Oryctolagus cuniculus: one gene and its partners. The protein of the gene in region 2 purifies or fractionates together with the protein of the main gene of each other region. This does not show direct contact. Links are inferred from orthologs where the notes say so. Each region holds a gene or a part of one and is shown on either strand. Other genes may lie near its edges.

Evidence for each region. Proteins that work in one complex are often made in the same cells at the same time.
Region 1: the proteins of YAP1 (region 2) and RPL12 purify together in Homo sapiens (affinity purification with mass spectrometry, with the first as the bait; 3 studies listed by BioGRID). This does not show direct contact. The link is inferred for Oryctolagus cuniculus from reciprocal best matches to the Homo sapiens genes YAP1 and RPL12.
Region 3: the proteins of YAP1 (region 2) and BTRC purify together in Homo sapiens (affinity purification with western blotting; 16 studies listed by BioGRID and IntAct, counting the BioPlex papers as one, with this or other methods). This does not show direct contact. The link is inferred for Oryctolagus cuniculus from reciprocal best matches to the Homo sapiens genes YAP1 and BTRC.

The regions. Positions count from the first base shown.
Region 1 is NC_091432.1:230,974,588-230,978,826, reverse strand, and holds RPL12 (large ribosomal subunit protein uL11), read left to right. Parts: upstream 1-1,434; 5' UTR 1,435-1,578; coding exon 1,579-1,615; intron 1,616-1,986; coding exon 1,987-2,060; intron 2,061-2,439; coding exon 2,440-2,538; intron 2,539-2,680; coding exon 2,681-2,762; intron 2,763-2,957; exon of another isoform or gene 2,958-3,084; intron 3,085-3,160; coding exon 3,161-3,247; intron 3,248-3,475; coding exon 3,476-3,588; intron 3,589-3,719; coding exon 3,720-3,725; 3' UTR 3,726-3,770; downstream 3,771-4,239.
Region 2 is NC_091432.1:93,682,746-93,686,255, forward strand, and holds part of YAP1 (transcriptional coactivator YAP1), read left to right. Parts: intron 1-3,344; coding exon 3,345-3,457; intron 3,458-3,510. UniProt on the Homo sapiens protein: Transcriptional regulator with dual roles as a coactivator and corepressor. Critical downstream regulatory target in the Hippo signaling pathway, crucial for organ size control and tumor suppression by restricting proliferation and promoting apoptosis.
Region 3 is NC_091446.1:28,581,394-28,585,586, forward strand, and holds the start of BTRC (F-box/WD repeat-containing protein 1A), read right to left. Parts: upstream 2,806-4,193; 5' UTR 2,676-2,805; coding exon 2,628-2,675; intron 2,360-2,627; exon of another isoform or gene 2,236-2,359; intron 610-2,235; exon of another isoform or gene 470-609; intron 1-469. UniProt on the Homo sapiens protein: Substrate recognition component of a SCF (SKP1-CUL1-F-box protein) E3 ubiquitin-protein ligase complex which mediates the ubiquitination and subsequent proteasomal degradation of target proteins. Recognizes and binds to phosphorylated target proteins.

The sequences.
Region 1 (4,239 bases), about 140 Mb from region 2:
CCACACTTCCTCAGGATTCTCCCGGAGGACCCTAACAGACTGGGGTCACTTCCGGCTCCTCCAAGCTAGAACGGCAGAACCAGACTGGAGCCAGCCATGACTCTGGGGGGCTCAACTACGTCACAGCCAGAGGGATCTCGGAGTTGAATCAACATTCAGGGGCGACCCTTAGGCGCCTGGCCGCCCTCACAGTCATCACTCCATGGGACCCTCACCAGGGCCCTGCTGATGGTGGAGAAACACGCTCAGCAGGTTCTGGGATGTGGGTCTGCAGCCTGGAACCCTGGGCTTCCACGACCTGATGCTCAGGGGTTTGCCACCTGCTTGGCGCTGGGGTCCTGGACCAGGAGTTGGTGCCCACTGCCCGCAGGGGCCCTGCCCAGTACCTGCAAATATCCGTGCCGGGGGCAGCCACCCGCCAGGAAGCAAGCACCAGGCTGGTAGGGATCCAGGCTCGGCCAGCCACCTGCTGTGTCACCGTGGCTCACGGCTTCCTCACCTGCGGAGCCTGAGCGATAATGTCACCGACACCGGCTTCCCAGTGAGTTCACACACCTGAGGCCCCCACACGGCCGCTACCTGCACACAGCGAACGCTCCACGGCCACAAAGCGCCGCCCGTCCCGCACACACGGAGCCAGGGCCGAGGGCTAGGGGAGCAGACGCGGCTGGGGAAGCGGCGGAGGCCAGAGGTCTCCGCCCACAGGGGTGCGGGCTGCCAGCCGCAGGGGTGGCCCGCCCAGGCCCTCCGGTCAAACCCACCAGTCTGCCGGCACCGGGCAGGGTCTGCCGCAGCCTGCCCGCCCCGCTCCCCATCTCCTCCCAGCTCAGCCCCGACGCCGCTCCCTCATCTGCTGGCGTCCAGCCCGGGGGCGAGGGCCACACCCATCCTCCCCTCGGCTGCGGTCACCGGGCCGGGTGGGTGGACAGGCGGGTCACCCCCGGGCTTAGCAGTGGCTGCGGCTCCTCCGGGGCAGGAGCTGGGACCGAAACCCAAAAGCTCCAAAAGTCCTGCAGAGCAGGAGTGACAAGTCCGGGACGCCGGGCTCGCACGAGCAAGAGTTGCACCTGGCTTAGGTCTGCTGAGCGGACCCACACACCACGAAGGGGTTAGGAGGAGTCCCGGGTCCCGGGACGGGGGCGCGGACCGCCCAGGGGAGGGGCAGGTCTCTGGATTTCGGTGACAGGGACCCCGGGGTGACCCTCACGATACGAGAGCACAGCAAACAGCGAGGCCCGGGATCTCGGGAGCAGCCTGTCGTCTCTGCCTCCCCGTTGGCGAACTGCCCCGAACCCCGCTTCCGAATCCTTTACCCCGGCTCACCGCGATGCCCCCGGCTCTCCAGCAGTCAGCCGCAGGAGCCTGCCCACAAGAAACATGGCGGCAAGGGCGTCGCCAGGCGGAGCCAGGATTTTTTAGGCGGAGCCAGGAGCTCTCGCGAGAGCCGCATTTTCCTGCTTATATCCGGTGCGGTCGGCGGGACTTCCGGCCTTTCGGTATTCGGCTCGGAGGAGGCCAAGGTGCAACTCTCTTCGGTCGTCCCGAATCCGGGTTCATCCGACACCAGGCGCCTCCACCATGCCACCCAAGTTCGATCCCAACGAGATCAAAGTCGGTGCGTGCTCTCGCTGCGAGCGGGGCTGCGGGGTGCAGGCTGCCCGCGCCCCGCCGCGCTCCTTTCCCGTGCGCGAAGCTGCGCGTCCCGGGCCTCGGCTTTCCCACGTGTAGATGGGGAGGGAGGAGCGGACGACCCTGGCGGCTTTGCAGCCCGCACGCCTTAGGGTAAGGCTTGTCTTCGGGGGTCTCTGCGCCCCTCGTGTGGGTTCCGGGCGGCCTCCGCTGCGGCGCCCGAGCGAGGAGCGTGTGTCCGGCCTTGATCCCCGGGAGCTCCTGGTGCTGTGTCGGGGAGAGGCGACGGCCGGGTGGGCAGCCCGGAGAGGCGCGGCCCCTCCACTGAGGCCCCGGCTTTCCTCCCCCTCCCCCCAGTATACCTGCGGTGCACCGGCGGCGAGGTCGGCGCCACGTCTGCCCTGGCCCCCAAGATCGGCCCCCTGGGCCTGGTGAGTACTTGGTGCGCGGCCGGAGCCGAGCGGCGGACCCGCAGTGGGCAGCGCGTGGCGGGCTCGCGGGGGCCGTGGCCGGCTCCACTCTGTACCGCGTTCATGCCGTGGGGCACCCGAGCGTCGCTCCTGCCACTAGGGGCCATCTTGCCGTGGCCAGCTGGGGCCCAGCCTCCGCAAACGGGTTCGGGCTGCGCGCGTGCCGCCTCGGTGCAGGGGCCCTTCGAGGCGTGGCCGCACCGGAGCCTGGTGCTACCTGGGGTATGGGGCGCAGGTGCAGCTGCCCTGGCGCTGGCGGAGGGAGGTGGCGGTACTGCGCAGGTTTGGGGGCTGCGGCCCAGCTCGGGCACAGGCTGATTACCCGCCCATATCTCTACAGTCTCCCAAAAAGGTTGGCGATGACATTGCCAAGGCCACCGGCGACTGGAAGGGGCTGCGGATCACAGTGAAACTGACCATCCAGAACCGGCAGGCCCAGGTATTTCCGCCTGTGTTGTCGGCCCCCAGGCTGGGCTGGGCTGGGCATGCTCTGGGAGCCCACGTGGGTGGCCGCGTCGCCACGCTCACCGGCGTGGGGTCCAGTGGGGTCGGGCTCTTTCACACAAGACTCTGTCCTGCAGATCGAGGTGGTGCCTTCGGCCTCGGCCCTCATCATCAAAGCCCTCAAGGAACCGCCCCGGGACCGGAAGAAGCAGAAGAACAGTGAGTGCCTTGTGTAGGGGTCTGTGACCAGCGGCGGCTCTGGGTGTCCCCTGTGTGACAGTGTGGGAGGTGACGGGTTAGCTAGTGTGGGGCAGGTCCTGCTTCCCGTGCGTGCGGGGGGTGGAGGGTGAGTCCTCTGGACGCCTAACTGGCCCCAGCCCGGCTTCCGGCGGAGGCTCGGTTGTGTCCCAGCCACCCGCCACTGCGCCTGCCCATGCTGCTGGCTGGCGCAATCCAGTGGTGAGCTGAGAGGAAGCCCCGGCTTAGGAAACAGGGTTGTCCTCCACGTGGATGACTCTGTGCCGAAAGCACGGGAACAGCCTGCCACGGCTGGCGGGGCCTTGTGAGGTTTCACAGGCGGCCGCCTCTGACCGAGCTTCCCCTGGTCCTTCCTGCAGTCAAACACAGCGGCAACATCACCTTCGATGAGATCGTCAACATTGCCCGGCAGATGCGCCACCGGTCCCTCGCCAGAGAACTCTCCGGTAAGCGCAGGGCGTGGAGCCGGCTCCCGGGTCCGCCCCGGGGTGATCCAGGACTTGGGGCGTGTTCTGCAGAAATGCGTGGTGCTGAGTGGGGTATTTAACCTGGGCGCAGGGGGAGTGTGGAGACCTTGTGTAAGGGCTTTGTAACCAGGTGGGATTCCAGACTCCAAGGGGAGTGGGGAGTCCCGAGAGAGGACCAAGCCTTCCCTGAAGCCACTGCTCTCTCAGGGACCATTAAGGAGATCCTGGGGACCGCCCAGTCTGTGGGCTGCAACGTGGACGGCCGCCACCCTCACGACATCATCGACGACATCAACAGTGGTGCCGTGGAGTGCCCGGCTGTAAGTGCCTGCGGGTGACACGGGGTGGGGGGATGGCCAGTGGTACTCCGTGTAAAAGTGGGGTGGGGTACAGCTGATGTATTGCCAGGCTGGAGTGGCTGGTGGTCTCAGACCCGCTTTCTTCCTCACAGAGCTAAGAAGCACAGAGGAATCTTGGAATAAAGGATCATCTGACAAGTGGCTTTCTGCTGTGGCGTCTTCTTGGGGGAACTGGCTCCCTTACTGGGCGGGAGCGGGCCAAGTGCAGAACCTAATTAGCAACTCCTGTGGGCCCTCAAAGAAAGCCTTGACTCTGTGGATGTCTCCACCCACCTCCGATTGATGGGTGGCTGGGGCCCAGGACCCACCACTGCTGTGCAGCCAAGCTTCAGAGCCGTGCCTAGGCGACCTCTGCTGCCTGCCCCAGCTCTGCTTTTCCCGCACTGTGTGAAAGGGGCTCCTGGTCCTAAGTGGGATTGGAGACGATTTCCCCTAAGAATTTGTTCCCCACACTGACCCCTAATCTGCTCCTGTCGGTCTGAAGTTACCCCTGGATGGAGGTACTGAGCTCCAGCAGCAGGTGGAGGTGCGGCAATGTGGAAGGCACATGGTTGAGGGCCCAGCTGGCTTAGAGAAGGCCAGCGATGGGGGCTGTGGTCCAGGCCTGGCTGC
Region 2 (3,510 bases):
TTTGGGTTTGATCTGGCCGAACCTTGTCTGTTGTGGCCATTTGGGAAGCAAGCCAGTAGATGGAAGATCTTTCTTTCTCTCCACCTCTCTTTCCCTCCCTTTCAAGTAAATAAATAAATCTTTTAAAATATTAATAAAATTAAGATGAAACTAAAATTCCTATCTATAGAATTTCAGTTTTTTAAATATGAAGATATATGTATTTCCCTTTGTAAACTGATTTTAGGCAACACACACTTTAGAAATACTTTAGCATATTTTGATTTAGGGAAGTGATTATGCTACCTCTTTAATTATCATCACTTGAATTGAAAACAATGATTCTAAGAAAAATTATCACAACTGCTAAAATATTTAGTGTAATAGAATTTCCCATCATTTGGTCAGTGTTTAGATTAATGTTGGTATCCTAATTGATTTTTAAAACACCTAAAATTATATTTTAAAATTTGTATTTACTCTTCTGACACACCCAGTATTTTGGATCTGAAGTTAAAACTGAAACTGTAGGAAACGTCATAGCCACTGAGTTTGTTTTTATATATATACCACAAGGAAACCTTCAGATCACTATAATTCTAGTACCTATATTATTGAAGGCCTATATTATTCAGAGATGGAATTAAACTGTTTTTAAATGAATAGGGTGTATATCCTTCTGCCATTTGTAGAGATTTTTTTCTTAAAACTTTTTTCTCGATTTTTATTTATTTTATTTTATTTAAAAGGCAGAGGGACACATTTGAGAGACATCTTCCCTCTGCGCATTCACTCTCCAGATTTGTCTGCAATAGCCAAGACTGGGCCAGGCAGAAGCCAGCAGCCAGAACTCCTCCCAGGGTGCATGTTGATAAGGAAGGTAGAATAGCCAGCGCTCAAACCAGGCACTCTGATATGGAATGTGGCCTTCCCAAGTCGTGCCTTAACTGCCACACCAAATGCCCACTTCTTTCTGAAACGTTTTAGTGAGAACTGGGCTACTGGCTGGGCTTGAGATTCTGTTTTCTGTTAAGATCATAGAATGACAGTTAATAATCCATGTTACTAGTGTAAGGGAAGAATCATACATCCATTCTCTGTAGTTCCCTGTTTCTAAAGCACACATCTGACTGTGACCTTTTTTTTTTTTTTTTTGAATCCTTGGGGTGAGTATTTGGCTTACCAGCTTAGAGGCAGGTTACGATGACCACATCTTCCCTGCTCAGCTTCAACTCCTCACCCCAACTTCCTGCTAATGCAGACCTTGGGAGGCAGCTGGTGATGGCTATTCATGTGGGAGACCTGAATTAAGTTCCCAGCTCCTGGCTTTGGCCCAGCCCAGGCCTAGTGTGGCAGGCATTTGGGAGTTAACCAGCAGATGGGAGTGTGCATGCTCTTGCTTTCCCTCTGCTTCCCAAATAAAGAGTACATATATAAATAAAGTAATCCTTGATGGTTACTCTGTTGCCGACTAGTTGATTTTTATGCATTCCTTAAACTGTAAACACTGTTCTAACTTGCCTTGGAGTTGACTCTTGCTAGTGATGTCTTATCCCCCCTCTCTCTTTTATTCTGAGGTCCTCAAGATCAGCTTAGACATTCCCTTTTATGAAACCTTTACCTTTTCCTTGTTAATCTCCTTTTTTTTTATTCTGAAAGTACTTTGGGCACATAGTTCACATAGCTTCTGTATATAATTCATTAGTATATTTTTTTCTTCTCTCTCCTGAAGTTGTTAGTCTCTCAGCACCATTTGCAGTTTTTTGTGGTTGTTGCTGTTGTCCTCAGAGCCTGGTCAAATGTCTGTAATGTAGTGACAGCTGTTCAGCGAACGTTTATTCAGTGAGTAGGGCTTCAGGGGGTGGAATTCTGCAGGGAGTAGTTCCTATTCAAGAAATGTAAGCTTTCTTCTGGACTACCTGTATGCTTCCCCTGTGGGTTGGAGTAAATTATTTACAAATCTGTACATTCAGATATTCTGTAATAGACTGGGTGTCTGATGTGGTCTCCATACTCGGCAGTGGAAATAGACTGATGACTAGCACCAGGCCACTGTCTCAGATTAGGGCAGGCAAAAATAAAAACAAACCACATCCAAGACCTTTTGGTACATGGCCTCGTTGTGTGCAAATGGTCTCGGGGCAAATGTGTGTTTTCTTGAATCTGTTTGAGGCTTTTGAAGCTCTCCAAAATGTGGCAGAAGCATTAGAGTAAACCAGTGGTTACAGTATACAAAATGAGGTTGGCAGTGGGGCAAGGCCAGTGCATTGAGCGATTTAGGGAAGAAATATGGAGTCGTGAGCTTCTAACTTTGACCAATAGTAAAAGCTTGTTTAAAAGCTTAGTTTTTGTTTTGTAACTTTTATTAAGTTAAATAGCCACTTAAGTGTCCAAGCTGTGTGGAAAGTTTAAAATTCCCATTCATGTTCAAAGACCATTAAGAAGAATAACAATTGCCTTGCTTTTATACTTCCCCATAAGATTTTCTGCAACTAGTAGAACTCATAATTTTAGTCAACCCAAGTGATATCTTTGTGCTACTAGCTTAGGAAAGTGTTCTGATTGTGAAAGTAATGTTTCAGGATATTTACCGTACTGGTATATAAATCTGGGAAGCTTCATTGAGCTTAAAGGAAAAGTATCTGTCTTGGCTCATGTTTTTCTCTAGAGATTTTCCTTGTCTTGTGTTTTGTTTCTTCTTGCTCTTATGCTGTGGTGTTTTGGTGTTCCCCTCCCCCTCCAAACAGAAGCAGGGAGATCAAGCTACAGGCATTCTTATCTAATCGGCAGTTATTTACCTATTTTTGGGCCAGTCCAGAAAGGAATTCTAGTTCTTTATTTTGGGTTAATTTCTCCTTGGCTTAAGTTCACTACATGAGAGCTAGGAATTTAACGTGAGACTAGTACAGGCCTGTCTCACCACCCACCTGGAGTTTGTATTTTGACCTCTCTGCCTGTGCACACACCTGCGGAATTGAAACCTTGAAACGAGTTAAGTGGACCCCCGCCCACCCAATGCAAATGGTATTAGAGAAATAAAAACTCTACAGAGAATTTTATGTCAGCTAGGAAGACTAAATGGATGTAACTTTTTTCAGTTGTTGCCATCAATCAATTGCACAACCTTAAGAGAGCTCTTGGTCCTCTAGAGCTACCAGCTTTAATTAGTACTGTATATTTCACTTCATAGTATAGGGTCTGTGACCATGAAGGAAGATACTTGTTTCAGCTGTTACAGGGCAAGATTGTCACTAATCCCCTGAGAATCCTGTTGGTACTCAGCAAGTGTTTATTTTTATCTTAGATTTCTTAAATGTTACTATCAGTCTTTAACTATTTATTTATTTATTTATTTATTTTGGTAGCGGTACCTATCACTCTCGAGATGAGAGTACAGACAGTGGACTGAGCATGAGCAGCTACAGTGTCCCTCGAACCCCGGATGACTTCTTGAACAGTGTTGATGAAATGGATACAGGTTGGTATTCCTTATTTTAGTTACCTGACCTCTACTCAGAGATAATCATAGTA
Region 3 (4,193 bases), on a different chromosome or scaffold from region 2:
AAAATAAAAGGCCAGAATAAAGCTGCATACAAAGACAAACATTTCAATGTGATGTAATAAAGGACAGCTCCTCCATGTGTGCTATACACTATTTACTTGAAGCAAATTTAAACACAACATCTTCCTAGGAGCTGGGCATTTAGCCTCGTGGTTTAGCCATCCATGGCAGAGTATCTGGGTTCAGTACCTGGATTCCAGCTTCCTATTAATGCAGACCCCGGCGGCAGTGGTGATGGCCCAAACAACTGGGTTGCTGCCACCCACGTGGAAGAGCTGGACTGAGTTCCCAGCATTCAGTGCATGAATTACAAGATGGGTGGTCTCAGGCTTTCTCCCTTGCTCTGCCCCCTCCCCCTCTCACCTCTGCTTCTCAAATAATTTTTTTTAATCTTTCTATCACAAATTGACTCTAAATAAACTAGGAATACTACAGAAAGGTAAATGGGACCAAAGGGAAGTTGTGACTTACTCAGATTCATAATAAGGCTGTTACAGAGCTGGAAGAGAATTCCAAACCTCTAACTCTCCATTCTCTGCTCTTCTTCTTAAGGTGTCATCACTCTTGGTGACTCTCTTCCAACTGGCCATTTCTCAAACAGCAGCCATAATGATAGGTAGTCAAAAATGAAACTAACTAAAATTAAAGAAAAATTTGACTTCTCCCTATGGAAACTGACTTAACATTTAATAATGCATGGCGTCCCAAAAGTGGCAAACCACTACATGGCCTGGCTTTAACTCAATCAGGAAGCCATCACAGAGACATAACTCACTGATACGAAGCAAAGATCAAGCACTTGAGAATGTTCCCATGCTGAGGTTTAAGGAGGAGTTAAAAAAAGATGATCTCATAATGTCTCTTTATGATCTGTAAATCACATTATTCCATAAATCTGACACAACTCAGGATTTCGTCAGGATTAGGATTAAGAGTCAACCCTCCTTCTAACTAGGCAAGCAAAAATAAGAAGTTGCCACTTTTCTGACGTGAATCTAGGATCTGGCTGTAGAGATAAAGTAACTTTCACTTCCAAAAGAAAAGAAAAAGCAAGGTCTCTTCTTCATATTTTAGAATTTTAACATTGGGCATAAATTCAAGAACCTTCTGGTTCAATGGAATTCTGTTCATGATACACCTGAACTTTAATTAGATGTTTTTGAAAGTACTAACAGAAAATTATAAATATAATTTTCTGAAAAATATTCTTATAAATGGAGAAATTTAAGCCTAAATTCAATTAGGTTAGTATTTAATCTGCTATGGTATTTTAGGCAAAGATACAAAATAACTTTTTAACAAAGGAATAAGATTTGGAGTGGCAGATCACAATTAGGTCTGAAAAGCAAGACTTGACTGCAAATAATATCAATGTCCCTAAAGCCACCTGTTAAGTAAAAGCCACAAAGTCTTGTTTTGCACCTAGGATACACAAGAAGCATCAGATTAAAAGCATCAAATCTCAGATTATACAAGTTTGCCCAACATAAGCATGCTGATAGAGAAGTGGGATACAAAGTAAAAAGGCTCTAAGGAGTTTACACACCCACAATCCAACCACATGCCCCTGCTATGCTCAACAAACTTAAAACTGAGGGGCGCCCCCCACCAATCCCAATTTATCTCATTAGCTACATCCCTCGCCTTCCCTTTTCCTCTCTTGAATTTCTCCACCGACCTCATCACTTGTCATGGGTCTCTACAACCATAATTTCCACGGCTTGCCTTTCCCAGCCCATGATACAGCCCGTGGATCCCACACTTCACTGCCTCCCACTTGAAGCTTCAAGTTCTGTTTCACTCTATTAGACATTAATTTTGCCCCAACCCCTTGTCCCCATGTCTCTCTGGCAATCTGCCTCTTGCTTTTCATCACCTCATACACAAGTACTTAACCTCTCCTTACAAACCAGGTATAGATCCCTTTTCCTGACAACTGTTTCACAGTCAACAACCCCCTCCTCGCCCACGGACTGTCACCACGGGTTCCTATTCCTTGTCCTTATCTCCTCTTCCAGAGTTTGTCAACAGTAGTTTGGCTAAGAGGGGATTCACCCTCAAGGCAAAGGCTATCTTCCCCCTCTTTCTACAAAACTACAAGCCCCTCACCCATCTGCAAGCCCTCAGCCCAGCCGCATCGGCCCTGCTCGCTCCCACCCTACCCCCAACGTCTGTGCTCCTACAGTCCCGTGCTCCCCTTCCCAACTCGGGGATGCACCTCCTCTCCGGGGCCTTACCCGTAACCCCGACACTGGGAAGGCCCTACCAACGGCCTCACGGCGTCTCTCCACCCGGCTTGCTCAGCTCTTCGGTAACTGTCCCCACGCCCCTTTCCCTCCCGGGCCCCGCGCGCCGCCAGGAGACCCCTCCTCGATTAAGCTCCCGCTGTCACTTGGCTCCTCATCCACAAGATGGCGGAGCTGCTGCCCCCCACCTCTGGATCCCCTCCGCACCCCCCAGCCTCCTCCCCCGAGCTCCGCTCCAGTCCCTCTAAGCCGCCCCCGCCGCTGGCCTCGGCCCAGGGTCTCGCCAACCCCCTCCCGCAGTGGGCGGGCGGCCCAGGCCGGAGCTCAGCGACGCCGCCAACGCCCCCGCCTCCATGGTTCCTCGGCCTGCACGGTCTCCTTACCATAAACTTCAGCGCTTTCTCCTGCAGCACCGCCTCGGCCGGGTCCATAGTCGCCGGGGCCACCCGGTCTGCTCTCCTCGGGGGCCGCCCCTTTGGTGCCAGGCCGCAGCCAACGCAGCTCCCGGATCCCGCCTCCTCTTCCTTCCCCCCGCCCTCTCTTACCTTTCAGGCACGAGAAGGGGGGCCGAGGAGGACCAGCTGTTCCGCACGCATGCGTAAGACCGCTGGCTCACGGGATTTGTAGTCCCGGAGCTTCCCGCAGCAAAAAGTGAGGCCATGCCGTGAACCGCAACTCCCGCCGTTCACTGCGGCCGGGTCGCGATTGCAGACGAGGCAGATCTAGACAACTCGCCGTCAAGTACAGCAAATCGGCTGATGGGAAAGGTAGTTTACAGTCCTTACGGATGCGAAGCGGGAGGGGGCGTGGGCGTCTCCGTGGTTACCGAGCGACGCCAGTGCGGCTTGCCTAGCATTTCTATCAAGATGGCGACAGCGCCTCACCTGTAGCCCAGATACTGGGAAAAGGTGTCAGAGGATTCAAGAGCCCTCCCCTGACTGTGGTTCTGGGGACTGGACATCCCCCAGTTTCATGTATCTAGCGTCTGTGAGAGATTGTGACCCACAGGCGCCGAGCCAGAGTGCACCAAGCAGCAGCATACAGACCAAAGCAGAATTTCAAGGTCCTCCTAAGCTGTCGCCCACACTTCTCTCGAGAAACCTTTTCTCCCCCAACAATCAGCCAGTCCAGGCCGGATGGAATTAGGCTCAGGAAGTTCTGGGTTCTTAGGAGCCCAAAAAGCGCAGCCTGCTACTGCTAACCCTGGGATGTAAGCCCTGTGCTCTGAAGGTCAAACAGGTGCTTTAGAAAGCCCTTCAGTGGTGGACTGCAGTAGCCACTCAGCACGTAAAGTATAGAAGTATTTTCTTTGGCTCTTAAAGGGACAATAGGATTTTATTTTGGAAACTGGGTCTATCTTAGGAGGAAAAAAAAAAAAAAACACAAAATGAGGCTGGTGCAATATATCAGAATTTACCCCCAAAAATAATTAGATCAGGAAAATGCTGTTTCACCCACAGAAGAAAACTCTATTGTAAACTCCTTTATGCATTCGTTCGTTCAACATTTTGTCAACACATAACTGTGTACCGACGTCATCTCAAAAAATGGGGCTTCGTTGGTGAACATGACAGACCCAGCCCCTTTCTTTGTGGAGCTTACATTTCTAGGATGGATGTGGGTGATACCATACCTGGCGGGAGGTCTGCCTGCCCTGCCCATGCAGGATCATGAGCAGGCATGGTACACCACGCCTCCCAGGAAGGACCCTACAATCGGACTGCTGGCAGGTGGCAGGAGCCCCAGGCATTTTTACACGCACACATGCATGCACACGAGCACACACACACACCACCCCTGTGAAAGGGCCCTGCAATTGCCAATCAGGTAAACAGCTCCCGGGTGTGGTCCATGCCCTTTAGGACACCTGGAAAGCTATCCTAGCTACGTGACCTTCAGGCTGACTGGAGAAGCATAGCGGCCAATATCGGTTCTATCCTACAGAATGA